Oryctolagus cuniculus: one gene and its partners. The protein of the gene in region 2 purifies or fractionates together with the protein of the main gene of each other region. This does not show direct contact. Links are inferred from orthologs where the notes say so. Each region holds a gene or a part of one and is shown on either strand. Other genes may lie near its edges.

Region 1 (6,269 bases), on a different chromosome or scaffold from region 2:
CAGGCCCTTCCCGGGGTGTGGCCCACCCTGCCTGCTCGCAGCATCCCCAGAGCAGTGTCCACCGAGTGAGTGACCGGGAGAGGCTGGGAGGCACTGACTGGGCTGTTGTAAACAGCACAGCACGGGGCAGGTGGGGGGCGGAGGAGACTTTGCTGACGGTACCCCCAGGGGCTGCGCGTGAGGAAGGCTACAACATTGGGGGTGAGGAAGGCTACAACATGTATTTCACTCTGCAGAGAAGAGGTGGAGCCAGGATTCCAACACAGGTTTGTTTGGCTCCAAAGTTCAAACCCCGGCCCCAGCGCAGTGGAAATGTCAAGTGCGTTTGGGGTCCAAGGCACCCAGGCTGGTGACCACACTGGAAGGGGAATTCCTTCTCTCCACGTCCCCCCAGGGGCTGCTTTCCCATTCCACCAGCTGACCCAGCCCCCGGGGGAGGGACGTGTCAATCACTTCCTTCCAGAAGCCTCTGCAGAGCGACAGCCTCCCCCAGGCCCAGAGGCACCCCCCCTCCATCCGCCAGCCCGGTTATCGGTCCATCTCGCCTTCAGAGGAGAGAGAAAGCAGCTAAGCCAGCGCCAGCCCCTCCACCCCCGCCAGCCCCTCCACCCGCTCTTATCTTGCTGAATCTGCACCACCTCTACTCTCGGGAGGGAGGTGCACACCTCATCTTACAAAAGAGGAAACTGGGCCCAGAGACCTTAAGTAACTAGCCCAAGGTCGCACAGCCCCAGGAGGCTGAACTCTGAGAGCTGAACCCAAATCCACACTCTTTCAACATCACCCCGCACCCATCTCTGGGTGCCTCCTCCCAGGGGTCAGAGGGCCAACCTGCCACTCCTCGGGGGGGGGGAGCAGGGGCACGGTGGTCTCCAACTCCCAGCATCATAGGTGCTCCCTCTCCCTCCTCTGGGCCCCCAAAGTCTCCATGGCCCCCTCGTGCCTTTGGTCCCTCGGGACTTTGCCAATGGGTCTGGTCCACCAGGGAGAACGCCCATCCTCCTGTCTCCCTACATCAGACCCTGGCTCCAGGGCCAGTTCCCAGAAGGTGCCCGTAAACTCCAGGTCCGCCTGCCCACGACTGAGCCCACTGCCAGCTCCTGCAGCTCCGGGCTGGCCCCCTCCCCGCCCCTCCTCCACGGCGGTGAATGATAACAGCCCGTACTTAACCGAGGGCCCACCACGTGCGCCGGCGGCTGCACGCAAAACAATTTAGACATATTAACTCATTTCCTCTCCACAAACCCCAGAGACGCACAAGCTGTTATTTCCCTCGTTTTATCAAATGCAGAGACAGACAGGTTCAGACACCGGCCCAGGGTCACTCAGCTACTGACCACTTACTCCCTCACTGTCACCTACAGGCTGAGCGTGAAGTCCAAGAGGGTCCCGGGGAGGCTGTCCGGACTCTCCCAGCCCTGTGGCTGCAGGAGCCCAGCTCCCACCGCTGCACCTGGCGCACCACCTCCACCCTTCCATCACCTCCCGCTTGGCGAGCGCCTCTGGGCCCGCCAGTCTGCCGCCCACCCTCCGAGAACCCCCGGACGGCGACCGAGCGGTCCTCCTAGGAGCCCCCCTGGCAGGGCCCGAGGAGCCTGCGCGCACCAAGGAGCGCCCCCTGCGCGAGGCGAGGGCGCGCTCTCCGTACACGGACCCGGGGCCGGCGCGCGGGCCGGGGGTGCGGCTGGGACGGACCCTCGCACGGCCAGCCCCGCGAGGCCCGGCGCGGACACACCCCCCGCGGTGTCCCCGGCGCCCGACAGGGGGCGCCGCCCGCGCCCCGCCGCGCCGGGCAGGCCCTCGCGCAGGCGCGCTGCGGCGGGCGGAGATCCGGGCCGCGCTTCCTCTCGCCGGGGCCTGCGAGCTTCCTCCCGCGGAGCACGGGCGAGCCGAGGGTGGCCGCCGCCGCCGCCGCGCCCCCCGCGCCCCCCGCCCGCCCGCCGCAGCGCGCGCGCCGCCGCCCCGGGGTCCTGCCGGGCGGGGTCCGAGCGCGCGCGCGCGCGCGCCGCCGTCGGGGCGTCCGCGGCCGCCGTCCCGCCCGCCCAGCCCTCGCCCGGCCGCCGAGCCCGCGGGGCGTGCAGCTCGCGGCCCCCGGCCCCGATCGAGCGTGCGGGGCGGGCCCCCCGGCCGCCGGCGCGACGTCCGCCCGGCGAGCCTCGGGGCGGCGCGGGGAAGCGGAACTCCGCCGGGCCGCGCGGGCCACATTGTTTGCGCCCCCTTCCGCCGCCGCCTTTCTTCGCGCCCGGCCCGGGCCGCGCGGCCGCCCCCTGCCTCCGCCGGGCCGTGCCGCCGCTCTTTGTGCCGCTCCCCCGGGGACCCCCGCCCCGCCCCTGCCCGCCGGCCGCGCGGAGCGTCCCGCAGGCCGCTGATGCCGCCCGGACCGCAGTGCCCCGCCAGAGGTGAGTGCCCGGCTGCCTGCGGCGGGGGGCGCGCGCGGGGGTGGCCCGTCCCGCTCCCGTGGCCGCCGCCGCCGCCGCGTCCACTCCCCACCCCCCACCGCCTGGGGCGCCCCATCGTTGTCGGGTTCGAATTCTCCCGGGAGCCACTGTCAGAAGCCGGCCGGGAGGGAGGGAGGGAGGGACCGCCTGCAGCCCCACAGGGCTTGTCGGGCCCCCAGCTCCGGTTGGTGGAGCTCTGGGTGGGTAGGGGGTCGGAGCCCCCCCCCCCCCGGGAGGGGAAGAGCATCGGTGTGGGCCGGAGCCTCTGCAGGTGCCCTGGCCTGCTTGCTCCTGACCCCTGCCTTGGTCCGGGCCGGAAGCCCCAGTGGACCCCTGAGTTCTGCCGGAGACCCAGGTCCAGGGCCTGAACCTGTCACTCTCAGAGATCTCTGACCCTTGGGTGGGGACATGGGCAGGGCTTGGGTCTTGGGTGGAGGTGACACCAGGCCATAGCCGTGCCTCCACCTCCTGCCACCTGGCTCGGCCCATTCTCCCAGGTTCCTCAGGGCCGGGGCCAGGTGTCAGGAAGGGGTGTGTCCAGCCACCAGAGCCTGGGAGCTTAACTGGGGCTCCCTTGTCGGCCTGCGGGGACCTGAGGCTCAGCAGGGCAGAGAGGGGGACAGCTGCCCCTGGCCTCTGGTGGAACGATGAGGCGGGCAGTGCTTGCCCCCAGCTCAGAGGCCGGGGCTGCTGCTGGTGGGGGGAAGCCCTGGGTGCACCCTCGCCCACTAAGGACGCAGGCCCAGCCCCAGGGGGCCTTGTGGGGTGAGCACGTGCTCCCCTGAGGAGGGCGAGAGGGGGCTTCCGGCCCAGCCCTGAGATTTCCCCCTGGTGCTTGGGGCTGGGTGCCCCCTGCAGGGGATGAGTTCTGAGGGGTGGGGGGGTCAGCCCCCACCCGGGCCTCCCCACGCCTCCAGCGGCTCTGTCTGTGCAGGAGCCTGGGAGCCCCCTCCCCGTTGGCAGCGCCTTGGCATGGGAACTCTGGGGGAGCGGGAACACCTGAGGGGCCCGGGCCCTGGGGTCCCAGCAGAAACCCGGCAGAGGAGGGAGGGTGTGGGGGGCCGCCCTTGCTTTAGGGTTCTGCCAGTTGCTGGGACACACACAGAGGAGACCCGGCCAGGTCCTGGAGCCAGAGCCTGCCCGGAGAGGCCTGGGGGGTTTTGAGGGGCAGGCCAGGGCCCCCGCCTGTGTGGAGAGGACGGCTTCGGGATGTGGTTTCTGTTCGGTGACCTCGGGGCCGCCCTGGCTCTCAGAAGTGGCCGCTCTTCCCTCTGCGTTGCACCAGGAGCCTCCTGCCTCCGCCGAGGCCGAGCCACGCGTGGTGCCCCGAGCCCGAGAGGGAGAGGGGCCAGGTTCAGTGCCCCCGCCCCGGAGTGGAGCCGGCAGAGCCTGGGGCGGGTGGCGGGTGCAGCTCTGTGCCATGCCTCTTGAGGACTTTCGGAACCCTGACACGTGTCCCCAAAGGGCAGAGGCGTTGAGTCTGGGGAAGAGGCCACAGAGCGGTGTCCCCACGGGTCTATGCCGTGGCAGAAGTGGCCCGGGCGCCTGGGCCCGAGTGGGGGTCAGATGGGGTCCGCGGAGGCGGTTCTGGGGTCACTGTACAAAAGTTACGGGTGTGCTAGTTTTCCCAACTTAGAAAGCAACAACCAGCACCAAAGCCAAGCAGAAAAACTTAGAAAACAGCAGAAATCCCCCAAGCTTTCCTGGGGGGCCGCAGGCCTCGTCCGCCGGCCACTGCTGATGCTGCGTTTGAGCGTTTTCCCAGGGGGCCTCGCGCTCCGGGAGACTTTGCCTCAGAAAGCTGCAGAGGGCCGCGGGCACCTCGGGCCAGGCCTGTGCGGTGCCGCCCCTCTGTCCCTGGGGTCATCCCTGTGTGTCCCAAGAGCAGCCAAGAGAGGAGCTGGCCGACGCGGGTGCCAGGCCCGGCCACGCCACGTCGGCCAGAGTGGATGGACGATGGACAGGTCCCTGACCCCCGGAGCCAGGGTCCTTTATGTAATGGGGATGCTGGCACAGCCCGTTTGCTCTCCTCACCCCTCACGGGGAGGGGGTGCAGGGAGGGCCCCAGTCATGGGCAGAGGTGGGGGGGTCCCTACCCAGAGAGCCCCCTCCAGCCGGAGGGTCTTGGCTACTTTGGCCAGTGCCCTGCCCAGCTCGCCTGCCTTCCCCTCCCCGTCACCCTGCGATTGGCTGGCCCAGGCCCGGGGCTGGCCCTGGGGAGACGGCCGCTGGTTGGTGTCCGGCCTGACCCCACCCATCAGCCTTCCGGCCTCGCAGCATCCGAGCTGAGTGCCCAGTGGCCTCCTGCCTCCTGGCTTGGGCGAGGCCAGCGCAGCCCTCCCTTGGACACAGACGCCTCCTGAGCCTGAGGCTCAGACAAGGATCCGGGCACCTCCACGGCCCCACCCTGCCAGCCTGGTCTTCCCAGCCTGTCCCAAGGCCGAGGGGCCGACTGTGGGGGCGGCCGCCTCCTCCTCCTCCTCCTCCTCCACAGGTGTGCCTCACCTGAGTGTGCGGGTGAGGGAGGTGGCGGCCAGCCTCTGCCTGGCCTTCCCTGGGCCCAAGACCCCATAGCCGCACGGGAGCTAACCCAGGCAGGGTCCCACGGGCAGGTGCGTGCGGGACCTGCACCCTGGCTGCCAGGCTTTGGCTTCCGGCTTGGTGCAAGGGAAGCGGGCATCGCTGCCGCCCTCCGGCCTCACGGCTCAGGCTGCGGTGAGGTCACAGGGTGGGGTCCACCCCAAGACGCTGGCCTGGCTGCCGCGAGCCCTCTGGGTATTTCTCAGTTCCCTCTGCCCTCATCGGGGACAGGATGGGTGGAGGAGAGGGCCGCCCCCCACGCCCAGCAGGGAGCACTCCCTCCTCCCTCCTCCCTCCCCTCTCGGTCCCTTCATCCAAGGGCTGGAAATAGAATCCGCTAACTAATGATTAAAGTCAAATTCAGACCTAAAAATAAAGAGCTGGGGAAGGAGAAGCGGTGTGCTCCCTGCGTGGCTGGGGTGAGGCCGCCCGGCCTGAGGCTCAGGGGGGTGCCACCATTTGGGGGTGTGCCTCGATTGGGCACCAGGCGGCTTGCACCGCCCGCTGGGCGTAGCCTGCACCCGTCCATCAGGCGGATTGGCAGAGAGGCGCCCACTTCCCCCTCCCAGGGAAACTGAGGCCCAGGGTTTGTCCAGCACAGCACAGCCTGCCCTTGGGCCACCTCGGTTTCTCTTCCTGGTTTTGAGGTGCAGTGAGGACAGCTCTGCACCCCCTCCGACCGCAGCTTCCCGCCGCCGCCCTCCCCTTCCGGGTCTGTGAGCGAGCAGAAGAGAGGCCGCCGCGCCCCCATGCTCCTGCGCTCTGCTGGCCCTGCGGTCGGTTGCTGGGGTGGAAACCTGGGTGTGCTGTGACCCACCACGCTGCCTGCCTGGCAGCCCGGGATCTGCCCGGCCGCGGGCGCCTGTGCCTGTCCATGCTGCAGGAACACAGGAGGTTGGGACCAGCTCCCCCGCTGGCCAGTGGTGTCACTTGGCGGGGCGGGGGCTTGTGGTTCCAGCTTCCTGGCAGGGCTGGTGGGAGCTCAGAAGCTGGGGAGCCACGAGGGCCAGAGCAACCTGGAGGACTTCCTGGCAGGGGAGGGGCCCATGCAAATAAGGGAGCAGGGTGGGAACAGAGCTCCTTGTGTGGTGCTCCTCTGGTTGCTGTGTGGCCCTGGGCCAGCTCCAGGCCTCTCTGTGCAAGGCCAGGGGGTCTGCACGGAGCCCGAAGTGGGCGCCAGTGGCTCTGTGCTGCTCGGAGCAGAGGCCAGGGGCAGGCCCCCATCCGTGCCTGCCGGTCATCAGGTACCCC
Region 2 (6,107 bases):
GTGGGGTTTTTGTTTTCTCCAAATAAATCTGATCTTTAAAGTTCATTTTAATGGTGAGATTGATTTGACACACAGTGCTTCGCGCCTGCCTCCCCCACAGATGGGCGGGGTGGCCTTTCCCCCCTCCCCCTCCCCCCTCCCAAGTGCAAGATCCGAGGCTGGGGTTCCACTGCCTACAAGGTCTGGGAATTTGCATCCCAGCTCCCCCTGGTGTTAACTTGCATCGCTCATGGGGCTCAGAAGCCCTCTGTAATTTGCCCAGCACTGGGAGGAGAGGGCCCTGGGCCCTGAGGCCTTGCCTCCTGCCCGCAGCTCCTTGAGAGTGCTGATGGAGGACCTGGAGCCGTGGGGATTTTCCAAATGGCCAAAGACAAGCTGGGCATTGTTGGAAGGCAGGCAGGGGGTTAGGACAGTGGTGGATGAGCCCTAAGGTCATGCGGAGGTGGAGCACAAGGAAGCCCAGGGGACTTCAGTCTGCACTGTTGGGGACTGGGAGCTGTTAGCAAGGTCACGTTCTGGGTCAGCTGCAGCAGCTGCTTTCCCAGCTGAACTCTGGGTAGCTAGAGTTTCATCTGCCAAGATGACAGGAAAGCCTTCATGTGGGGGAGAGCTGCCCAGGCTGCCCGCAGCGGCCATAGGCTCCCCCTCTGTCCCCTCCAGGCCTTTGCCCAAAGCCACTCCTGCAGATGGGAAGTGGAGAAAGCTATGCTGAGAGAGGAACTCCCTGTGTAAGTATACTCTCAAGGAAAAGCTCAGCTCTGGCCCGGCCTCAGAGATGCGGGGCCCCTCCCAGGAGCCCGGCTGCAGGGATGGGGCCCGGACCCCCAGCCCTCTCTGCCAGCCACTTGGGTCTGCCTTGGGCTGCTTGGCCTGGGTGTCCTGGTCCACGCTGTCTATTCCCGGAACAGGGCTACGCTCGGGTCTCAGGCCCCTGAGGGTTCCAGCTGGAGCTGAGGGCGGCACCCCCCAGAGCTCCGCATCTGGTTTCTCAGGAAGTGGGGGGGCTGCACATCTGCTCCTGGGAAGCATTATTTGTCAGATCGTTTCTCAGCAACCGCCATAGCCCCCAGGGCCACCAGAGCCGCGGACTTGCCCTCCCTCCACCTCCCCCCAAAAAAGTTTGGAAGAGACCACTGCTCCCCGCCCAGCTGTAGCGACCTCTGGGACGGACAAAGCACCCTCTGTCCTCAGCCAGGAGAGCCGCCTTTCTCCCTGCTCTGCCTGGTTCCCAGCACCGGAGCCCTCCGGGTGGTCTTCCACCCCTGAGATCTGAGTGCACTGTTACGGCTATGGGGTCGCCCCAGACCACGGAGAAGGAGGAGGAGGTGCCCCCGTCAGCGGCAAGATGGGCCGCCCTCTGCCTGCTCAAGGTAAGCCGGCTTGCGTGGAGGGAGGTCCGCTCCGCCTCTCAGCCTCTGCCAGGCTTTCCCTTCCTCCTCCCCTCCCCTCGCTCTGCTGGGCTCCCCGAGGCTCTGGCTGCTTCTCAGGACGCCTGGCTGGCTCGGGCAGGCAGACCCCCGTGTGAGCACAGAGCTCAGCTGCCCATCCCCTGAGCCTCTCCCAAATCCTGGGACCCTCACAAGTTCCTCTTTGCCCTGCCACCACCGCCACCACCCCCCACCCACCGGCAGCAGCTGAATGGGAGGCTGTGGCCCCACCCCCCTCGGGAGCCAGGCCACTTCCTACCTTTAGGGAAGAGAGCCGGCCCCACTGCATGCAGCCCAGCACCTGGCCAGTGACCGCAAGGAGCTGCAGGCTCCAAAGAAATGACCAATCTCCTAGTTCAGGTGCCTCGCTGGAGGTCACAGAATGACCGCAGGCCCTTTCCTTGACTCAGCAGCCTCTGCGCTCCCGGAGCCTTCCCTAAGGCCAGCTTCTCTCAGGTCCTCCCCCACCCCCAGCCTCCACTCCGCCCTTCCAGACCCCCGTGGCACCCAGCACTGCCCTAACCTCTGCCAGGAGCAAGATGGAGGCTCCCCAGCCCCCAGCCGGCTCTGCCTGTCTCCTGGGGCCTCTTCCCGCTGCCAGAGTAGAAAGCAGTGCCCCGCCCCTCCTAATCAGAACCAGGCTCCCCGGCCTTGGCCAAAGACAGGATGAGCCCAGAGGGGCCCCAAGAGTCAGTAGTGGGCAGGCACTGGGCCTTCCGCCCTGGGCACCGGCTTCTCAGAATCCTCTCCCCGCCCCCCTGTTTTCATCATGGAAAATCTGGGGCGCGGGGGGGGGGGGGCGGTGAGGTGAGGGAGGGCCAGCGTGTGTCCGGGAGTGCTCACTGCTAAAGAACTGGGGCCTTGGAGTGACAACCGGCTCAGGGCTCTAGGACGGAGCCCCCTCCCCCCACCTTCCCCTCCAGTCCTCGGGGGTCCCTTAGCTCCCTTCCAGGAAGCTCCTAGCCCGTACTAGGTAGCATCCAGACACTGAAGACAGTGACGGACACGTGAAGCCCTTCGCAGCCATACCTGGGGGGTGGGATTGCCCCCAGAGAGCGGGGCAAGGGATGGGAGGGGCTTGAACCCCATGCGGACATCCTGGGCTGGGAGCCTCTTAGGGAGACTAGCTCACTCGGGGCAAGGTGTCCAGGGACTCGGGACACCAGCAGCATCAGGGGTCTTCAACGATGCTGGTGCCGACCCTCAGGGCCAGGCCCAATCCCACGCACTGCTGTGGCGTGGCGGGGCCGACAGGCTGTGAGCCCTCGCTTCCAGTGCCTGCTGGACCCACGTGCACCCTTCCTTCGGCATCTGCCTGCCTGCCCGGGTCGCGCCGCTGGACTCCCCGTCCCCGGGCTTCTCCCAACCCCTCTCCCCACCGCTCGGCTCCTCCTGTCCCCGACTCGCTCCCTGACCCGGCCTCTCCGCCGGGCCCTGCGTCCTCGCCTCTCAGCTCTTTGTGAGTGTGGGTTCGCGGGAGAAGATGGGGAGGAGAAGAGGGAGAGAGGAGGAGGACGAGGGGCGGGGAGCGGGCGGGACGTGGGGATTGGAGCCGGGGCGGGCGGGAGCGGGGGAGGAGAGAGCGGCCGCGGGCGCGGGGCGCGGCGGGAGCCGGAGGGAGCCCAGCCGAGCGCGGCGCGCCCGCCGCCGCCGCCTCCGCATCCCGCTCGGCGCGGACCCGGCCGCGATGGGCTGGCCCGGGGGCTCCCCCTGCTGCTGCCCCGCCCCGCCGCGCCCCCGCGCCGCCGGGCGCCCCCCGCAGGTGAGTGGCCGCGGCGCGCGGGGCGGGCGGCGGCGGCGTCTGCGTCACAGCCGTGCGGGCAGTGCCGAGGGCGGGCGCCAGGGGGCGAGGGGGTGCGGGGCGCGCGGCGGGCTGGGCCCCGCGCCCCGGACCGCGGAGGGGACGCTCGGAGGCCGTGAAGGTGACCAGGGGGCGGGGCAGGCCGCCGCGGGCCCTCGCCGCCACGCCTTCCCGCGTCCTGGCGCACACGCGGCCCGCACTCTGTGGCGCGCCCGCCGCACGAGGCGCCGTGGTCCCGGCACACACAGGCCCGCGAGCTGGGCGGGGGCGAGCAGCAGCCGCGCTCGGGCCGGCTTGGCTGCGCGTGTGTGCGCGCGCGTCCCCCCTTGCCTGCTCTGGGACACAGGCCGAGAGCGGGCCCAGGAGTGGCCCGCTCGTCGGCCAACGCGCGCCTCTGCCCTCACTCCACCAGATGCTCCGGGCACACCCGGCCACGCCGCCTGCTCCGGCGCTCCTTGCCTGGGCCTCACGCCTGCACCCGGGGCGGGCGGGCTCCCAGTCTCGCATCCAACCACAGCTATTTCCAGGAAGGGGGGTGTGGGTGGAGGGGTTTCTCCAAACAAACCCTGGGTTTGGGAGGGAGCTGGGGGCCCGGCCGGGGAGAGGCAGACAAGCTTCGGACTGTACCAGGCAGGAGGTGGGCGAGGGCCGGCCCCCCCACCTCCCCCCTCCCCGCAACAAGCTGTGGCTCCTAGGGACCTTGGCCCGGCTCCCCTGGGGGCCCTGCTCAGGGCAGATGCTGGCAGTGCCCCTGGTGGAGTGTCTTGCAGGGCCTGGGTGCAGAGACAGACCACTGGTATCAGAGGCCCTGTTCCAAGTGAGGGACTTGGGGGCCTGTGGAGGGGGCCGGGCCAGGGCCACAGGCCACAGGAGCAAAGGACAGGCAGAAATCCCACCCACTGTACCCCACCCCGCCCTGCTCAGGGCACCTTCTGCCCCTAACGGCTTGGATGCCAGACCAGGCCCAAGTGCCCACAGGGCCAGGACCTTGGAATGGCTTGTGGTACAGCCAGGGGGAGGGGCCCAGGCCTGGCCACACAGGTGCCACCTTCTGGCCAGGTACCTCCAGGGGGCCACGGTGGGCATGGGGGAATGGATAGTCTGTCCTGGAAGGTTAGAGCTCCCAGGTAGAGGCCCGGGCCGGACCCAGGCCCGGGCAGGTCCTCAGAAGTGTCCCGCAAAGTATCCAGAGCCTTCCATCTGGACGGGCATGAGGGAGGAGGAGGCCAGGCCAGGGCCCCCATGGGAGATGCCAGGGTGTGCAAATGCCGAGGAGGGGGCCCAGTCGCCCCTTCTTTCGGGTGACAGCTACCCACAAGTCCAAGGGGCTTGGGGCTTCATCCAGGGCTGAGGACCGCCCCCCACTCTGGGGGGGCATTAACCCCTTGTGTGCTAGGAAGATGACTCCCTCCACTCCGAGCCCGCATCACCACCTCCTCCTCTAGACTTCTGGGGCAGGAAGTTGGCCATGTTCCCAGCAGGGAGGCAGGAGGCCCTGGAGCAGGCTGGACTGTATTGGGAGGGGGCGCCCTGCCCAGTCCTCAGGATGCCCCGTGGGGATGGGGCAGGGTCCCTGGGCTGAAGGCCTGGCTTGCAGGGGCTTGGGAGTTGCGGTTGGGCTGGAGCGGGGAGACGGTGTGGATGGGGGGCTGGTGAGCAGCTGGCTCAGGTGGGCCTGGCCAATGTGGGGGGTGGGGGGGGTGGAGAGTGAGGGCAGCCGGCCCTTGCTTCTCTTTCTCACATCCTAACCAGCACAGCTGAGACCAGGAGGGAGCCGGGCGGCATCCACTCAGGATCCTCAGCCAGCAGGGTGCTGGCTCCCAGCTGCCCTCCCTCCCCACCGGAAGTCCCAGGAGAGTGCAGGCTGGGAGGCTGGCCAGGACACACTGTTCCCCACTGGCCCTTGAGCCCTGCCCAGAGACCTAAATTCCCACCCCGCCCTGCCCCAGCGGGGGGCCGATCCCTGAGGGCGGGCTCCCTTCCCAGATCAGGGTGCCTGGGCCGGGGGATCCCGGGGCCAGCTCCCCAGCCCTGAGCCCAAGCAGGGGAGCACCAGGTCCTGGGCTGACGCTCCCAGCGGGACAGATCCTGGGAATCTGATCTCCTGGCCTCCCCCACATCCTCCCCCCCCCCACTTCCTGGAGCTGCGACCTGCCCCCTTCCCGCCGGCACTTCCCTCCACTTCCAGGGCTGGGCTTCTCCTCACACCGCCACACAGCCTGCCCGCCGCCCAGGGGAAGCTGCGGAAGCCCCAGGCCAGGCCCCAGCATTGTTCAGGGCCCCCCAGGCCGGCCAGCCAGCACCCCAGCTAGTGGGACAGCATGAAGCCCAGCGGCCCTGTGGAGAGGCTGCTCAGAGCCCTCGGGAGGAGGGATAGCAGCCGGGCCACCAGCAGGGTAGGAGGGCCCGCGGGCTGGGCCGTGGGTGGGTGGAGGTGTGGGCGGAGGGGGAAGGGGCTGGGATTCGTGCCCCTCGAAGCTCTCTCCCTGATTTCTCAGCCCCCTGGCCCTGCCCCGCGTGCCCCTCCTCACACTGCCCTTTGCAGTGTCAGCTGCAGTAGACTGGATCCCGCTGTCCGCTTTGGCTCCTCTCTTCCCGCTCTCTGCTCTAGCCCTGGCCGGCCCGGGCCCCCAGACCTGAGCCCCAGGTATACTTCAGCGTAGGACCTCACGGGGCGCTGGCCCGGAGCTCTGGGGGCAGAGCTAAGTGGTCAGCCCAGGACTGGGCCCCAGGGAGGTGGCCAGGGACGGGGGAGCTACGGTAGTGGCAAAGGGAGGGAGGGAAGAGACGCCGGGGCTCAGGAGGGCTTTGGGAACTGGCTGCATGTTTCTCAGCATCACTGTATTTGCTGCTGATGCCAGAGAGCACCCACGGCTCCC
Region 3 (6,276 bases), on a different chromosome or scaffold from region 2:
TTTATGCTGTGTCCTCTCCAGACTTCACTGTAACAGTTCTTTATTTGTCTGCATTCTCTCACCACCAACCTGCCCCTGCCTTCTCTCCCTCTTACCCCTCCCCTTCAACTCTGAACTTCCTGAGGGCAAGAATCCGGTATCTGCAATGTCTCTAGCCCGTGAGGAAAGCTGAATAAACATGAAAGAGTGAAAGAGTGAGCAATCCTTACAAATCCCTGAGATAAAATAGAACCCTTGAGCTCTGTTCCCTCACCCCAGGCAAACAGAGACTACATAGCTGTCCTTGGCATGGGGGTGGCAAGAGCATGCCTGAAATGCCCTGCCACACCCCAAAAGGGCATCACTGACTTCTAAGGCAGCTAACAGAAGGAGAGTGGAGCTTAAAAACTTGAAGGACTAAGAATAAAATCTGTCTCTTAAAAATAGCCCACGTGGATGGGACAGCGGCTCTGAGACTTAAACAATGTTTGACTGATTCACTCAAACCATGGTTTGTGTTTGTGTGTGATTTTGCATATTTTGAGTAATTCTATTTTTATACGCCTTGGTTTAAGAATTCAGCATAAACCCACCATACTGACTTCCCCATACCTAGAGACAGAAATTATAAGAAAAAGAGGGCAGATTGGTGCCTCCTCACACAGGGCACCCAAATGTAAGAAAAACAGAGAAGAGACAGAATACAAACTCACAGCCAGGCCGAATTTATTCAGAGAAAACAAATCTGCAGAGGTGGGCAACCAACTGCCAGTGCACACACAGACTGAACACGTGGCAGAGGGCCCAGACCCTAGGGGCTGGGCCTTTTTATGTCTTAGGTGGGCTATGTCTCTGTTCCATCAGAAACTGCTTGTCTTATACAAAATGGGAAAATAAAATAGTCTACATATTAGGTGAAAAGGCATTTAATAAGTATATTAATTATACTGCAATCTATAAACACTCTTGCTAAAACCACATGTAGCCTAGTTTAGACTAATGAATACTGAGAAGAATTTACTAAGTGGTTTTCATTTTACTAGTATGAATTTCAAGTTCAAACTACATCTAAATAAAAACCATTGTTTTGGTTTTTGCAATACAGAGTAAGAGGTTGAACTGTTTGCCTAGTTCCAGTGAGTACTACATAAATAGCACTAAATTCAATATTGTGGTTCTAAGAATTTATAACCAAATGCTTAGCTAGGCTCATTTTAAGATACATATTTAGGATGATTTTTTTACACACAACCGACCATTCTGCTCCTTTTATTAATTCGAATTTCCAAACTGTGTCTAGCCCCACCTCCAAATGAGATATAAATAAAATTTATAAATAGGGCATTAAAAAGGTGGGACACTGGAATTTCACAACTAGAGCACATTTTAAATCATTTACTTGCAAACTTAATATTTTTTCCAAATCTTTGCAAGCAGATCTGTAAAAAAGCAAAAGTCATTTTGCCAAAGTTAAGACTCGATTTGTCGACTGGTCCCCCTCATCCCAGCCTTCCCCCGCTCTCTTACACTGCCAAATATATCCTCCTGACTAATCTCTGCCAGTACACGTCCATCACTTCCTCAGAGACCCAGCGCAAAACTCAGACACTTGAAAGGGTCCTCCCTGACCAATCGCACTTCCATTAATGATCTGCTGACTTCGCATTCCTGTGGCATTCCTATATAGTTTGCACCACAAAATTAAAAAGTTGATTTTTTTTCTCCCCCAAAGTTCAGCATTTTTCTATTATTTCCCCAACCAGAGACCAAACAGGGACAGGAACGTCATTTTTCCTCTCTTCCACGCAGTCAACAACACACGCTTCTCAAGGACTGAATCAACAGTTCAATTTTTGAGGGAAGCAACTGACTTCTCATTTACAATTTCGTGTAAAAATACCAAGTCCAACATCCATGAAGCCGGAGAGAATTCATTCTGCCCTAGCTCCATAAACGCATCATCAAAAGCTCCAACCTATAGATCACACACAGACCGAAGACTGTTTAAACGCTGTTTTGTGCTTTGCCATTTCAAGTCGCTTCGACAAAGCCTAATAGTCTCGGAACAGCACGCCTGTGAGCGCTAGGAAGCTGGCAGCGCTCTCTTGCAAAAGGGGCAAAACTCTGGTTGGCAGTGAGTGTTGAAACACGTGAGCCTCCACGGTTAAACAAGGCTCATTAACCACACAAGACTTGCTGCTTCAGCTCTCCGGCTTCAATGGAGTTCTGTGATCTCCGCCGGTTATTGTTGAGAGCCAACGATGGGTTAAATTCCCATAAATTAACTAACGTTTTGGTGGCTTGCCCAAGCACAACTGCTGGCATCGATGGAGCTGGGTTTTATTTTTATTTCTTTAATAGACCCGCCCGCCCAGGGGAGCCCGGAGGTGAGAGCCGAAAGCGCCAGGCCGGCACTTCTGAGCGGGCACACACGCAGAGCTGCGGAGTCGCCGCGTCGGGTCCCGCCGCAGCTCTTAGCGCCAGCTTAGCGCCGCCGCCTTCGGCTCCATCTCCGCCGAGTAGTCCTGCCCAGGGGCTGCAAGCCACACGTCGGCGGCGGCCGGCCCAACTTTTCCTGCAAGCAGCATCAGCTTTTCGACACTCAAGAGTCCCAGGACACCGGCTCCGAGGGATAGGAGGAGGGGCTGGGTCAACCTTGCCAAGGGGGCAGAAACAAAGTGAGCGCCGGACGGCGCAGCCCGGCCGGGCCCAGGCCGCCCCCGCCCGCCCGCCCGCCCGGACAGCCGGCCCCGCTCACCCTCCAGCAGCACCTCCTTGCCCGCGCGCTTCAGCGCCTGCACGGCCTGGTCGTGGGTGGCCTGGCGCAGGTCCGTGCCGTTCACCGACAGGATGGCGTCGCCCAGCCGCAGAGCCCGGCTCTGGTCGGCCGCCAGCCCCGGGAAGATCTTGGAGATGAGGATCGGCATCCGGTTCTCGCGGCCGCCCTTGATGCTGATGCCCAGGCCGCCCGCCTCCTGCTTCACCACCCGCACCCGGCGCACGGGCGGCGACGCGCCCGCCTCGCCCGCGGGGCTCCGCGGCGGCGCCGGCGGGCTCGGGGACCCCAGGCCGCGGCTCGGGCTCCCAGGCAGCGAGTCGCCGGCGCCGCCGCCGTTCGGGAGGCCGTTGAAGGCGGCCGCTGCCGGCCCCAGAGCGGGCTCGGGGTCGGCTCCCGCGGCGTCACCGGTCAGGCTCAGGCTCTCCCCGCTCAGCTCGGCCACCACTCGGACCCAGCGCTCCCTCAGGAGCAGCTCCACCAGCCCCGCTTTAGTGGCCCGCGTCCACACCGCCATGGCCGGCCCCGCTCCCGCCGCCGCAGCTACCCTCATTCCAGTCAGGCAGCCTCAGCGCTTCCCCCTTCCCGCCCGAGGGGGCGGGCCCGGCCCCTCCCCCGCGGCGATGCATTATTCATGAGGGACACGCCCACCTCCCGGGCGGGGCGGGGCGAGGCCGGCGGAGCGGCTTCCGGGAGGTTAAGAGGCTGTCCTGCGCCTTACAGCTCCTGGGACGTGGGTAGCCCCCGGTGGGGGGTAGGGGAGGCTCCATCTCACACTCTCCTCCCATTGCGTTCCCTACAGGCCCCCAAACTGCTGACCTCTCCCGCGCAATGCACGGGAGCTGCGTAGGCACAGAAAGTAAAAGCAGCTTGGAGAAGCACCTTGCAAGCCTGCCAGACTAAGTGGCACGTTCATTCTTGCTCTGGTTTACTCTGTTCGTGTGAGCTGTGCACTCGGGCCCCTTCTGTGGCGCTGGCCATAAGCTGAATCAAATATACCACACCTGAAGCTTGCGGTCTGGTGGGGAAGGAAAATGCAGAGCCAACCCAACGAGCTGTGATACTATGTGGTTAAGTGATGTATAGAAAACTCCCCCGGAGCAGACTAAAAAGGGCCTCCGTTTGGTCCCGGGGTCCGCATCACAGAGGCTGACAATGGAGGGTGATAGCTGGAGCAGATGGAACAGCATATGCATGGTCTAGAGGCATGATTCCAAGACGGTGTCACCCTGCTTCGTAATCACCCGTTTTCTTGCCTGTAATTAGAGGGGGACGCTGTCTTCTTAAGTCCTGGGGCCATACCAGGCGGGCTTCAAAGATGTTTGCACAATGTATCAGCCAGGCTTCTCCAGAGCAACACTTCAGTAGGATATACAGACACACTAGAGATTCATCCTGAGGAACTGTCCCTAGACGGCGACCCCGAGTACCAGGATCTGCCACTGCAAACTAGAGCCCCAGGGAAGTTGATGGTGCGGTTCCAATCCCACCACTGAGCACCTGGAAACCAATGCTGTAAGGCTGAGACGGCAGGCCCCCAGAACGGGGTGGGGCCTGGAGGTGTGGTTTCAGTGTTGGTCTAAGAAATAGGGGCAGGAAACCGTGAGGAACTAAGCAAGCCCCAGCTCCGGCAGTGTGCATGCACCCTCCCTCTGTTCTGTTCAGGCCCTCACCTGATTGGAGGATACCTGCCCACATTGCTAAGGGGAATCTTTATTCAGTTCAGCACTCACACACTAATCTGTTCCAGAAACACCCACACAGACACACCCAGAAATAATGTTCCGCCAGCCATCCAGGCATCCCTTAGCTCAGTCAAGTTGACACATAAACGTAATCATCGCACATGGGTACTCAGGAAGATGACAGAATTCCAATGTGAAGAGAGCACAGGCTCAGTGGGTGTGTCTGGATTTGAATGTGAAAAGCCTCATATCAAATATCCAGGAATTTGGACCTGACTTTGTAGAGGGGACTGTCCTATCCTAGAGGCCATGGTCTCGTGTTGGGGCAAGTACAGATGGGCAGCCTCAGGAACTGTAATGCAAACTTTGGACTCTGAGGGCCCAGAAACACACTGCTGAAATCGGAAACTCTCGGGAAATTTATGAGGTCAAGATGTTCTTTAACTTTCCTTCAGCAGCAAAAGCAAAATCCCTACTCTCATTTAGGCAGCAACAGGCTGTGAGAACAGCAGTGTGCAGCCGTCCCTGTAAAGGGCATTGGTTTCTTGCTTGTTCAGGATGTACACGTTGAGGCTCGTAGGCCATAGCCATGCATCATTCTGCAAGTGCACGTGCATGTGCAAGCAGAAGCTTACAAAGAGCTTCCTGCACCAGGAGTTAAACAGTATAAATAGAGACTCGGAAGCATCCAGAGTCCAGATGAAGAATTAAAGATGAGAAAAGTACCTTACCAAAGAAATCATGATGACAGAATCTCCACTGCAATTAGTGGAGCAGGCTTTTCCAAGTTGCAAATGTCAGCAAAAGCTCAACCTTCCAGCCCTCTCCTAAATCAGCGGCACTGGAGTCAGCTCACTGTTCTAGAGGTCCCGGCGTGCCCAAGTGCACCTGCAGTCACAGACATTTCTGGCTGTGCGCCAGCGGAGGCATGAGCCCCAGGAGACCTGAGTTATGGGAAATTTTTGCTTATTAGAGAGCATTTGGCAGTGCATTCTTTGGAGTTTGAGCGTTATTTTTAACACCTCTGCATATGTAATCACCCAAAGGTTGCACATTTGAGGACACCTTTATTAGCAAAAGGAAGTACTGGAAATTTTTAGAGTATTAAGACCTTTTTGTTAATAGAGTTGAAGGAAGTTACAGATCTTCCAACCAATAGTAAGTGAGAGTACTTACTTAAGAAAGCAAGTTATGTAACAAAATATTTAATCCTAGGAGAAGGTAATGGAGATCGGTATTTGGATTATTTCCATTAAAAAAAAAATCCCCAACTAGGGCCTGGTGTTGTAGTATGGCAGGTAAAGTCACCACCAATAATGCTGGTATCTCATATTAGTGTTGGTTTGAAACTCAGCTTCTCTACTTCTTAGCCAGCTAGCTCCCTGCTAATGCATCTAGGAAAGTAGCGGAAGACGGCCCAAGTGTTTGGGCCCTTGTTCCCATGCGGAAGACCTGGAAGAAGTTCCTGGCTTCTGGCTCCAATTTGGCCCAGTCCTGGCAATTGCAGCCATTTGGAGAATGAACCAGGGGTTGAAAGATTCTCTCTCTCTCTCCTTTTCTTCCTTTCTTCTCTTTCCTCTCTCTGTATCTCTGCCTTTCAAATAAATAAATAAATAGTTTTTAAAAAATCCAAATTATCAAGCTACATTTATAAGGCCCTTCCTCAGGACCGAAATGAACTTTTCAACATTCTCATCAATACTTCAGGATTAATCAAATTCACCCAGTGTCTCCCAGTGGCCTGGTCCTTCCTTTCCCATTGTTTCTTTTTAATATGAAGAGCCTGTTAAGTATAATACTTTTTTTTTTTTTTTTTTGACAGGCAGAGTGGACAGA
Region 4 (5,946 bases), on a different chromosome or scaffold from region 2:
ATATGATTCCACTTATATTGAGGTACACAGAATAGATTCCTAGAGACAGAAAGTAGAACGGTGGCTAGCAGAGGCCATGGAAAGAGGGGAACGGGGAACTCTTGTTTAATGGGTACAGAGTTTCAATAAGATAAACAAGTTCTGGAGACTGATGATGCTGCTGACTGCACAACAGCTGAATGTAGCTGATGCCGCAGAACTGCACACATAAACCAGGTAAGGGTGCGGTGGCACCGTGGTGCAGTGGGTTAATTGCTGCACCACTTCATTGTGCTGGCAGCCTATAATGAAGCACCAGCTGGGTTCCAGTCGCCCTGCTTTCAATCCCGCTCCCTGCTAATATGCCTGGGAAGGCAGCAGAAGACAGCCCAAGTGCCTGAGACCCTGACACCAACATGGGGGACCAGGCTGGAGTTCCTAGCTCCTGGCTCCAGGGTGGGCCAGACCAGCCATTTGGGGAGTGAACCAGAGGATGGAAGACCTCCCTCTGTCTGTCCCTCCTCTGTCATCCTGCCTTTGAAACGAGTAAATCACTTGGAAAAAAAAGAAAGTTGAAATGGTGAGGTTTCGCCGGCGCCGCGGCTCACTAGGCTAATCCTCCACCTAGCGGCGCCGGCACACCGGGTTCTAGTCCCGGTTGGGGCGCCGGATTCTGTCCCGGTTGCCCCTCTTCCAGGCCAGCTCTCTGCTGTGGCCAGGGAGTGCAGTGGAGGATGGCCCAGGTGCTTGGGCCCTGCACCCCATGGGAGACCAGGATAAGCACCTGGCTCCTGTCATCGGATCAGCGCGGTGCGCCGGCCGTAGCGCGCCGGCTGCGGCGGCAATTGGAGGGTGAACCAACGGCAAAGGAAGACCTTTCTCTCTGTCTCTCTCTCTGTCCATTCTGCCTGTCAAAAAAAAAAAAGAAAAAGAAAAAGAAATGGTGAGGTTTATGTAGATTTTTTTGTCATAAAAAATGGAGGGGCTAGCACTATGGTGTGGCAGGTAAAGCTGCCACCTGCAGTGCTGGCATCCCATATGGGCTCTGGTTTGAGTCCCAGCTGCTCCACTTCTGATCCAGCTCTCTGCTGTGGCCTGGGAAAGCAGTACAAGATGGCCCAAGTCCTTGGGCCCCTGCACCTGTGTGGGAGACTCAGAAGAAGCTCCTAGCTCCTACCTTCAGATCGGCACAGTTCCGGCCGTTGCTGCCACCAGAGGAGTGAACCAGCAGATGGAAGACCTCTCTCTCTGCCTCTGCCTCTCTATAATTCTGCCTCTCAAACAAAGAAATAAATCTTTGAATTAAAAAAAAAAAAAAAAGGAAAAGGTACAGAAAAGCTGGTTAGCCAAACTGGAAAGCAAATTATGTTTCAACATTATACCCCACATAGAAATAGATTCCATTTGAAAAGCGAAACTTTTTAAAACTCTTAGAAGAAAATACAGGAATACACAATTCATACTCTGAGGCAGAGAAAGGTTTCTTAAACTAGACCCACACACTCAAAAGACAAGCCATTTAAAGGAAATCCTCCATGAATATCACATTAAAACTTAAAACGCCTGGAAAGGGAAAGCCAAGCAGGATGCATCGGCCAAAGGTTCCAATCCAAAGCAGCCTAAGTGTTCCTGGTGAAAGAAGGGCACAGACTGACTTCACACTACACAGAGCAGCGAGAAATCAACGGGCCACAGTCCGGAGCAGCAGCCTGGTAAACCTCCATCCACTGCCATCTGAAATGTGGACCCCTGCGACCCAGCATTTCTCTTTCATTCACAGCCACAACGGTCACTGACGCAAAAACGATTAATAAATTGCACTTCTGTGCAAGACCCGAAGGCAAGCGGGAAGACACGAGGCCATGGAGACACTCAGAAGACCCCTAACACTCCACCATGGGAAAGTCTCAAAAACATGCTCTCAGTGGAAAACAAGTCGCAAAACGACGGGAGCACCAGGATGTCATTAGGGCAGGGGAGAGAGCGCATGTTCTCTGTAGTGCCCGTGTGTGCGTGAAAACGCAGAGAAAGATCTGGAAGAACCACACCAGACAGTGGGCTCTGTGGAGAAAGGACTCGCCGGGGGCCTCCTATTCCGCCTGTGCAGGTGTGCGTCCCAGCCACAGCACCCCACGCGCGGCACACACTGCGGGGGCTGCCTGCACGGGAACCGCAGCCCGAAGCCTGGCAGCACGCAGCTGGCACAAGCAGACGCCGAGGCTCCGCGCTTGTGTAATCAGAAGTAAGGGAAAAGGGGGAGGGAGGGGCTGCAGAGCCGCAGGAGGCAACTCTCCGGGGAGCTGGAAATTTCCATACCTTGCCCGGGACAGCGGCTACAAAGTGCCTATGGTTTTCCAAATATCCAAGTGTACACGAAGAATGCGCCTTTTATCATATATATGCAAACTGTACATCGGCAAAGTTAATTTTAAAATAAATGCATCCATAAGATAAGATACAGTCAGGAAAGTCTGGAAGAAGGTGCCCAGAATTGCAGAAATGAGGCGCCCCAAAACAAGAACTCGCCGACACCTGCCGGCTGCCCCTTAAGTTCAAAGGCCCTCCAGGAAAAAGAGGGAGCCCTCTGCAAGGCTGACCACCCTATTTTTTATATAAGGAAACAAGCAAAGACGCAAATTAAAAGGCAAGTTGAAATTCTATTGGTTCGAAGTCTCATTTCCCACCGTGAGCAGAAATCCTGTGCGCGGCACAGCAGACACCAAGAGCCGAGCCCCCGCCGGCACGACCCCCTCCCGGGCAACTCCGCTCTGCAACCCGGGAGCCCAAAGACCAGGCTGGAGGTGACGGGTCCAAACCGCGGCCGAGGGCGGGACCGCAGGGACCCCCACCCCCCAGCCGAGGTCCCAGGACCAGGGCGAGTCCCCAGCACGCGCCAGCCCGCGCCGCCGCCGGGGACGCGCCCGGGCCCACACCGAGCGCTCGGGGGACGCCCCCTGCCCCCGGCCCCCGGCCCGACCCAGCGCCCGGGGCTGCCTCGGCGGACAGAGTCGGGGGCGGCCGCGGGTCTGCGCTCGCGTCGGGAAGCAGGGGAACTTCCTTTCTCTTCCCAAGTCTGCCGGACCCGCTCCTGCCCTCGACGCGGGACCCTCGGGATGCCCCCGCAGCCCCGCCGCGCGCCGCCCGGCCCTTCCCGCCGCACTCCGCAAGCCGCCGCGCGCGCGGCTCCGACCAGTCCGGACCCGGGGCGCGGGGCGCCCGCCGCTTTGTGTCGCGCCCGCAGCCCCCGCGCAGGCCCGGGCCGGCAGGTTCTCGCCGAGGCGCCTCAGGGAGCAGGGCGTGCGGGAAGCGGCGAGGAAGCCTCCCTCCGCCCGGGCCTGCCCGCCTCACCTGCCTCGCCCGGCACCCGCCTCAGCGCCCCTCCCCGGCCGGGCCGCCGCAGCCGCCGCGGGCTCCCCACCTGGCTCGAAGCTGGGGGCGTCGGCGAGGGCCCGCGCGGCCGCAGCCTCCTCCGCGTCTCCTGCCCGGCCCCCCTCGCCTGAGACTGCGGCAGCGGCGGCGGCGGCGGCTGCTGTTCAGGCCCCGGAGCCGCCCCCGCGGCGGACGTCCTCCGCGCCGGCCCGCGCCGCCTCCTGCCCGGCACGCGCAGCGAGCCCGCCCCCGGCGCGAGGGCGAGGGCGAGGGCGAGGGCGAGGGCGCGAGGCGCAGGGGCGGGCGCGCGCCGCCGGGGAGCGCGCGGGCGGAGGCGGGGCTTCCGCCGCGCGGGCGGGCGGGGGCGGGGCGAGTTCCCGCCCCCGCCCCGCCCCGTCCGGAACCGAGCGGCGAGCGCGCGCGAGCACTGGAGCGGGGCTGGTTGGGGGCCGCGGCTCGGAGCTGGCTGCTGCGCACGGGCATCCTAGGCGTCGCAGCTCTGTGGAGCAGGGGGCGGGAGAGGGCGTGTGGTGTGAGGGTCTCCGCTGCCGCCCTGAGCTCGCCTGGCGCCCGCCCCTCCCTCTGCAGCCGCGAAGGGACCGGCCACCCGCAACTAAGGGACGCGAGCGCAAACGCCGGGTTCATAAAGAACTGTGGGAGTTTTTTCTTTTTTTTAAGATGCATTTATTTGAAAGTTGCAGAGAGCAAGAGAGAGTCTTCCACCCGCTGGTTCACTCCCCAGATGGTCGCAAGGGGCTGGGGCTGGGCCAGGCAGGAGCCAGGAGCTTCTTCCAGGTCTCCCACGCTTGTGCAGGGGCCCAAGGACTTGGGTCATCCTCCACTGCTTTCCCAAGCCACAGCAGAGAGCTGGATGGGAAGTGGAGCAGCCGGGACTCAGGCTGAGGCTGTACCCGCGGTGCCATCACACCAGCCCGTTTGTTCGTTTTTACTGAGCACTCACAGTGTGGTAGGCGTTGAAAGGGTGAAACATTGGCTCCCTCCTTTGGAGAAAAAAAAATGTGTAAATCACGAAAAATAAATATGTAAATGCAGCTTGGTGTGTTTGCTCATTCACTGAAACCAAGGTAATTCAGTAAGTGAGCTAGCCTGAAGGTCCCTCTGGGCTGGCCGGTGGATGGGAGTGCCTGCTCCAAGTCTTAGCTCCCTCTCCTACACCTCCCCCCTGACGTGCACCCTGGGCAGCAGTACCAGGGCCCGAGTCCGTGGGTCCGCGCCACTCAAGTGGGAATCAGGAGAGGGCGTTCCTGGGTTGGGGCTGGCCTGGCTGTTACAGGATTTGGGGAGTGAACCAGGAAACAGAAGGTGCCCTCCATCGCTGCCTTTCAAATTAAAAAGAAATTTAAAATAAATCAAAATGTTTTTTAAAAGCAGATGGTTTAAGAGAAAAAGCAGTGAAACCTTCTGTCCTACTAGATTCTGCTGTGTTACTACTCCCTCTCCATTTTTTCCCCACAAATATCTTAAAAGTCATCTGTACTCATCTCGACTTCCTCAGCAGGTTCTCGCTCCCCTGACCCACACCCCACCGTGTCGCTGCACTGCTCCCAGTCACAAATGGCTTCTTTGACCCCAAATGCCACATGCCTTTCTTTCAAAAGTATTAGAGAAAGAGAGCCCATCTGCTGATTCATTCCCCAGATGCTCTCAACAGCAAGAGCAGGGCCAGGCCAAAGCCAGGAGGCAGAAATGCAATCCAAGTCTCCAGTACAGGAGGCAAGGACCCAAGTGCTTGAGCCCTCACCTGCTGCCTCCCAGGGTGCACATCAGCGGGAAGCTGGACTCCTGAGTAGAGCAGGGGCCCGCACTGTAGCTTCCGTGGGTTAAGCTGCTGCCTGCAGCGCCAGCATCCCATATGGGCACAGGTTCAGTCCTGGCTGAACCACTTCTGATCCAGCTCCCCGCTAATGTGCATGGGAAGGCAGCAGAGGATGGCCCAAGTCCTTGGGCCCCTGCACCCGCGTCAGAGACCTGGAAGAAGCTCCTGGCTCCTGGCTTCAGATTGGTGAAGCTACGGCCGTTGCGGCCAACTGGGGAGTGAACCAGCAGATGGAAGACCTCTCTCTCTCTCTCTCTCTCTCTCTCACTGCCTCTCCTCTCTCTGTGTAACTCTGACTTTCAAATAAATAAATAAATCTTTAAAAAAATAAAAGTACAGGCAGGGCTCACAGCCAAGCACTCCAATGTAGGATGCAGCCTTCTCCATGCCCACAGCTACCAGAACACCCAGTAGCACCTTCCTGGTTTTGAAACTCCCTTGACTTTGTGACATGACTTCTTTCTCCACCCTGTACCCACTCCTCAGCCTCCAGGGCTTTGTCCTTGCTCATCTCCCCCACGTGTTCTCCCTGGACCATTTCACCCACCCCACGCACATCAGCAGCTCCCCCACTGCGCCGGGTTCTGTGTACACTGAAGCCTCCCAGACTTCACTACCCGCTCGCCGTAGAGACAGCTCAAGCTCCAGAAGCCTAACACTGGTTAGCACCCCTCTGGGCACAGAGACGGGAGTTCCTTCCCCTGCCTCCCACACAGCCAACAGCCACTGGGTGCCCCTGATTCTACCCTGTAACTTTGCAG
Region 5 (5,482 bases), on a different chromosome or scaffold from region 2:
ACATGAGATTCATTTATGTTATATGTTTTATATATAAAGTATAATGATCTTATATAATATTTTAATAATTTTGTGCATGAAACAAAGCTTCATGGTGCGAAATTCTCCACTTGTGGCATCACGTCAGAGATTAAAATATTTTGGATTTTGAACCAGTTCTGATTTCAGAATTTGGGATTATGGATTCTCAACGTGTAATAAGATTTGGATATTTCATATGCAAAATATCCACATGATTGTACTTTTGGTATTTCTCAGATAGGCTGCAGGTGTGATGTTGGGAAAGTTCTTTGGACTAGACACAGATCATAGTGGTACTATTAAAATAGGCAGATCTTTGTGATATGATACAAAAATAAATCCTAGAATCCCATTTTGAGGAGCTTTTAAATTGGGTATAATTAACTGAGAGGTGAATTTGAACAGATAATCAGATTACAGAACTACTGAGGGTCATTATTCACATAAAAAAGGAAGAACAGAAGAGAGGGTGAGGGGAGAGAAGAGAGATTACTCTTATTAAAAAGTCCTCGTTATCTTCTAGGACATAGATGATTGACACAGGTGTTGCACAGTTTGAAAATTACTTTTCAAAATATTGTATTTGCTACCTTAAGCACGTCTTCTTTTTGCTGGGGTTTCTTTTTCTCAGATTCATCCAAAAGTGTATCAGCCTGAATGATCCATTTTGTGATGTGATCTACATTCTGGTCAAAGGTTTCCATGTGTTTCTGGTATTCCTTAAATGTACAGAGACGTGTAATGACATTATTGGTTAGAAAACATTCTTAAAGGACTGTTTTCTACTCTCTACAAGACTAAAAAGACAAAAATACATATGTATCATAATTTAAATTACTTTTAAGTAGAACATTCACGTAAAATATAACACATAGAGAAAAACATATTAAAATTAGTTATGGACAATGAATTTAGAGCAGGGTATATGTGGATTTGACGAATTTTCATATAGGATCTCAGTGAATGTTTACACATTTTTTTTTGATGGAGAGGGATCAAAAATCTTCCAGTGTCTCCTCTTACCAAGAGAAGGTTGAGCCATTCTTCTGCTCGGGAAGTGACAGCTACCCAGTTACTATTCAGAAGACTGAGTTTATCTTCCACCAAGGTCTCCTTCTTGCCCAAAACTGTTTTCAAGGCTTCTCCTAGCTCTATGACACTCTTCAAGTGAGCCTTCTGTTTCTCTACTTCTTTCTGAGTAGCCTGTGAAAAGAACAGCATTGAGATTAAAGTTATATTTTGTAGCCTTAAGATAAAATGGTTGTGAAATGGCAGTGTGTATGGTCACTCTGGTTAGATTTTACAAAGGTTTAAACCTACAACAATGTGTTTATAAACCATAAAAATCAAAGAATATGAAATGCAGTTTCATTGTTGAGCATATATGTATACACAAATGTGGTTAATTTAATTATTTATCTTTGAGTGCACATATTTAATTGCTAAACAAATGTATTGCCCAACTAAATATATTTATCTTGTACATGTCGTGGTTAAAGGTTGACATTCCATTGCTTTTTTTTTTTTTTTTTTGACAGGCAGAGTGGACAGTGAGAGAGAGAGATGGAGAGAAAGGTCTTCCTTTTTGCCGTTGGCTCACCCTCCAATGGCCACCGCGGCCGGCACATCACGCTGATCCGAAGCCAGGAGCCAGGTGCTTCTCCTGGTCTCCCTTGTGGGTGCAGGGCCCAAGCACTTGGGCCATCCTCCACTGCACTCCCTGGCCACAGCAGAGAGCTGGCCTGGAAGAGGGGCAACCAGGACAGAATCCGGCGCCCCAACTGGGACTAGAACCCGGTGTGCCGGCACCGCTAGGTGGAGGCTTAGCCTAGTGAGCCGCGGTGCCGGCCATTCTATTGCTTTTTAAAAAACTTAGAAAGTATGGCACCACTGTCTATCTACATCAAATTTTAGCCTTTTTGTATCATGGATCTCTGGTATCTGATTAAGCTTAATGACCCCTTCTTATCTTAATGCCTACAAAAGCATAAAAGAAAATATACATGGGTTGAAATAAGACCAATTAAGTCAAAATATAATATATGTGTTTCTAAAAATTTTTGTGATGTAGTAATACATGTTTTGTTTCCCAGCATATTAACTAACAGGATCTAGCATCAGGTCACTAAATAGGATAATTTCAAAGTAGCGAGGAATACACTCGTTGCTTCTGTATACCAAGTATACTCAGTGACTGGAACATGATATGAAATATCTGTCATTTCTATCGGTGACCAAGTCACAGCTACTGCTATTATTAGAGTTTGCTTTCAACATTTATAAACAAGAAAAAGTTGAATTTCGGTTACAGGTTAGCTACTATACCTAGAGTTATTTGTAACATCGGTGTCATTTGTTGCACATGAGTGAGCTTAGCAGTTCATTAAAACTGTTCATACAGCAAGCATAAATGTTTATTAAGCTTCTACTAGATGGCAGAAACTCTTGTAGCAGGGTATTTATTTCCATGCAATGTGTTTTTGGAAAATGATAAGAAATGTCTCCTTTGGGTAGAAACAGCCTCTTTGGAAGTTGACTTGTGAATGGACTTGCAATAAATTTCAGCACTTTAAATCCTTCATCTGTTCCCTATACTACTTTTATTATACAAAATTTGATCTTTGTTCGAGACAATGTGGATAAAATGGTAGAGCAGCAGAGAAATGTCCTGTCCTTTGAAAGCTTATATGGGCTAGTCAAAGAAATAAAAATAAGTACAAATGAACATTGTCTATTTCTTATATTTCAGGCTAGTGGCTTATAATTTCAGTTGATTTGTTCACAAAGGTAACACCTTATTAAGTAAAAATTTAATTTACTTTGAGGTCCCTAATTATCTTTGAACATGTCTCTAACTATTATACTGTGCATGCAATATTGTGGCACAGCAGGTTAAGATGTCTCTTGGGACTTCCACATTCCATGTTGGAGTGCCAGTGATCAAGTCTTGTGTCCATATTCCAGTCCACATTCAAGCTAATGTGGCTGGGAGGCACAAGATGCTGGCTCAAGTACTGAGTTCCTACCACCCACATGGAAGAGCCAGACAGAAGTTCTGGTTCCTGGCTTTGGCCCGGCCCAGCAGTGGTTGCTGCAGGCATTTGGTGAATGAGCCAATGGACAGAATCAATCAATCAATCATTCTCTTTAAAATAAATAAAAATGAATAAACATTTAAATGGATCAGACCATTAATCCTTTTCTGCAAGAATATAAAAAGTTATTATGGCTGGCACTGCGCTCACTAGGCTAATCCTCCGCCTTGCGGCGCCGGCACACCGGGTTCTAGTCCCGGTTGGGGCGCTGGATTCTGTCCTGGTTGCCCCTCTTCCAGGCCAGCTCTCTGCTGTGGCCCAGAGAGTGCAGTGGAGGATGGGCCCTGCACCCCATGGGAGACCAGGAGAAGCACCTGGCTCCTGCCTTCGGATCAGCGCGGTGCGCCGGCCGCAGCACGCCGGCCACGGCGGCCATTGGAGGGTGAACCAACGGCAAAGGAAGACCTTTCTCTTCATCCCTCTCTCTCACTGTCCACTCTGCCTGTTAAAAAAATAAAAAGTTATGTACCAAAATCTTTACTTTTTTTTTTTTTTTACATGCCAGGCAATGCAGTTAAAGCTAATGGAAAATTCCAAACTTCAGAAAGGATCAGGGGAAGTTTTGAATTTAGGAAATGTTTCAAAAAATTCCTGGATCATAGAAAATTATTTTATGTCAATTATCTACCAAAATCCTCCACTGAATTTTCAAGGGTGTAGAGATACTGCATAAATGCCTCTGGTGGGGTACACCACCTGAAATTCGAGGCATTGCTGCAATTTCTGCTCACACCAAAACAGGCCAGGGATGGGTACACCTGCCCCAAAGCAATGTGATAATGGGAGCAGCAGGGGGCTAATGGACATAAATTGGTACCTGGAATATTTTTGGGAATTTAAAAAAAAAAAAAACTGTTTGACAGGCAGAGTGGACAGTGAGAGAGAGACAGAGAAAAAGGTTTTCCTTTTCCGTTGGTTCATCCCCCAATGGCTGCTGTGGCTGGCGCACTGCGCTGATCTGAAGCCAGGAGCCAGGTGCTTCTCCTGGTCTCCCATGTGGGTGCAGGGCCCCAGCACTTGGGCCATCTTCCACTGAACTCCCGGGCCACAGCAGAGAGCTGGACTGGAAGAGGAGCAACCGGGACAGAATCCGATGCCCTGACCAGGACTAGAACCTGGAGTGCAGGTGCCTCAGGCAGATTAGCCTAGTGAGCAGTGGCACTGGCCGGGAATTTGTACATTTACAGGAGCATCTAAATGGGCCTGTCTCTGAAGATTTACATCACAGCTCTAATCCCTTTATTAGACCACCAGACTGAATTCCTTTTCCCAGATCCTTAAGTTGATGTATAACCTTGCCTAAGTGCCTGCTGGCTCATAGACTTGCTTGTACCCTCTAAATAAAGGTGGGAGTGCATAGCTATCCAGTGGCATTTTCTTAGAATGGCCACTCCCGTGTTCTGTATCCCCATTTGAAAAACCTCTTCATAAGAGAAAACATTTAATGTCCAATGATATTTCATGCGTTTAATGGAAAAAAGGAAGCAGCAACTAATTTCTAGTGTCTTTTCAGGTTCCAGTATTATTTTGATGTATGACATGATCATAAGTCCACTTTCAAGAGACTTAAGAATAGCCGAATAAGAACTACACTTGAGTCATTAGCTCTAAGGTTTTGCTGACATAGGAAAAACGTCTGATGTGAGTATTTTTCAGTTTAAATATAAATCACTATCAAAGTCTCTATCTTCATATGTTTAATTTGTAATATTTGATACCTCCAGTATGATATAAATATTGAACACTTGCTTTCATGATTTTAAATAAAACATTTGCTGTCAATAATTTTTAAATGTTATTCCAGTATCCTTATAATAAGGAATGGGAGGAATAAATTAATTTTCTCTAGTGAATGTATTCCTGTGTCCATGGGAAGGAAGAAGAACACATTCTGATTCATTCCTTATACCAACAAGTTGAATAGAATGTAGAAATCTTAATTGGCACCTTAGGTAAAGTATTTGGTCATCAGTTCCTCAACTCAGTTTACTGATGTAATAGCAGACTGGGAACTTGTTCTGTTGAACTCTGATGATCATACAATTACAGGACGGAAACAACTACTTAAATTTTATTTAAAGGTAAGACAGAACAGTATTGGAATAATTACTGGTCCCAAAGGAACACATCCACAGATATTCTCCCCCACTGGTAGGCAAAGAGCTTACTTGGTCTTGACTCTCTCCCATACTCATTTCTTCCAACGCTTTCCACAAGTTTTCTTGCAATTTCTCAGGGACTTATATTCCTAGGACAGTTCTTTATCTGACTGCCTATTATTCCTACCCTTTCTTTCTTCATTTTTTTTATTCTCTTGTAGGTATCCTGCTCCAGAGATTACATCAACACTCAGCCCCACAATTAGT

What was found.
Region 1: the proteins of TNS2 (region 2) and CSK purify together in Homo sapiens (affinity purification with mass spectrometry; 6 studies listed by BioGRID and IntAct, with this or other methods). This does not show direct contact. The link is inferred for Oryctolagus cuniculus from reciprocal best matches to the Homo sapiens genes TNS2 and CSK.
Region 3: the proteins of TNS2 (region 2) and SNTB2 purify together in Homo sapiens (affinity purification with mass spectrometry; 4 studies listed by BioGRID and IntAct, with this or other methods). This does not show direct contact. The link is inferred for Oryctolagus cuniculus from reciprocal best matches to the Homo sapiens genes TNS2 and SNTB2.
Region 4: the proteins of TNS2 (region 2) and DTNB purify together in Homo sapiens (affinity purification with mass spectrometry; 3 studies listed by BioGRID and IntAct, with this or other methods). This does not show direct contact. The link is inferred for Oryctolagus cuniculus from reciprocal best matches to the Homo sapiens genes TNS2 and DTNB.
Region 5: the proteins of TNS2 (region 2) and DMD purify together in Homo sapiens (affinity purification with mass spectrometry; 3 studies listed by BioGRID and IntAct, with this or other methods). This does not show direct contact. The link is inferred for Oryctolagus cuniculus from reciprocal best matches to the Homo sapiens genes TNS2 and DMD.

What each region holds. Positions count from the first base shown.
Region 1 is NC_091443.1:108,910,070-108,916,338, reverse strand, and holds the start of CSK (tyrosine-protein kinase CSK), read left to right. Parts: upstream 1-2,050; 5' UTR 2,051-2,399; intron 2,400-6,269. UniProt on the Homo sapiens protein: Non-receptor tyrosine-protein kinase that plays an important role in the regulation of cell growth, differentiation, migration and immune response.
Region 2 is NC_091442.1:56,108,498-56,114,604, forward strand, and holds the start of TNS2 (tensin-2), read left to right. Parts: upstream 1-2,583; 5' UTR 2,584-2,910; coding exon 2,911-3,189; intron 3,190-5,408; exon of another isoform or gene 5,409-5,549; coding exon of another isoform or gene 5,550-5,624; intron 5,625-6,107. UniProt on the Homo sapiens protein: Tyrosine-protein phosphatase which regulates cell motility, proliferation and muscle-response to insulin. Phosphatase activity is mediated by binding to phosphatidylinositol-3,4,5-triphosphate (PtdIns(3,4,5)P3) via the SH2 domain.
Region 3 is NC_091449.1:52,276,559-52,282,834, reverse strand, and holds the start of SNTB2 (beta-2-syntrophin), read right to left. Parts: upstream 3,361-6,276; 5' UTR 3,309-3,360; coding exon 2,738-3,308; intron 1-2,737. UniProt on the Homo sapiens protein: Adapter protein that binds to and probably organizes the subcellular localization of a variety of membrane proteins. May link various receptors to the actin cytoskeleton and the dystrophin glycoprotein complex.
Region 4 is NC_091433.1:177,084,142-177,090,087, reverse strand, and holds the start of DTNB (dystrobrevin beta), read right to left. Parts: upstream 3,616-5,946; 5' UTR 3,328-3,615; intron 1-3,327.
Region 5 is NC_091453.1:18,963,850-18,969,331, forward strand, and holds part of DMD (dystrophin), read right to left. Parts: intron 1,225-5,482; coding exon 1,045-1,224; intron 741-1,044; coding exon 612-740; intron 1-611. UniProt on the Homo sapiens protein: Anchors the extracellular matrix to the cytoskeleton via F-actin. Ligand for dystroglycan.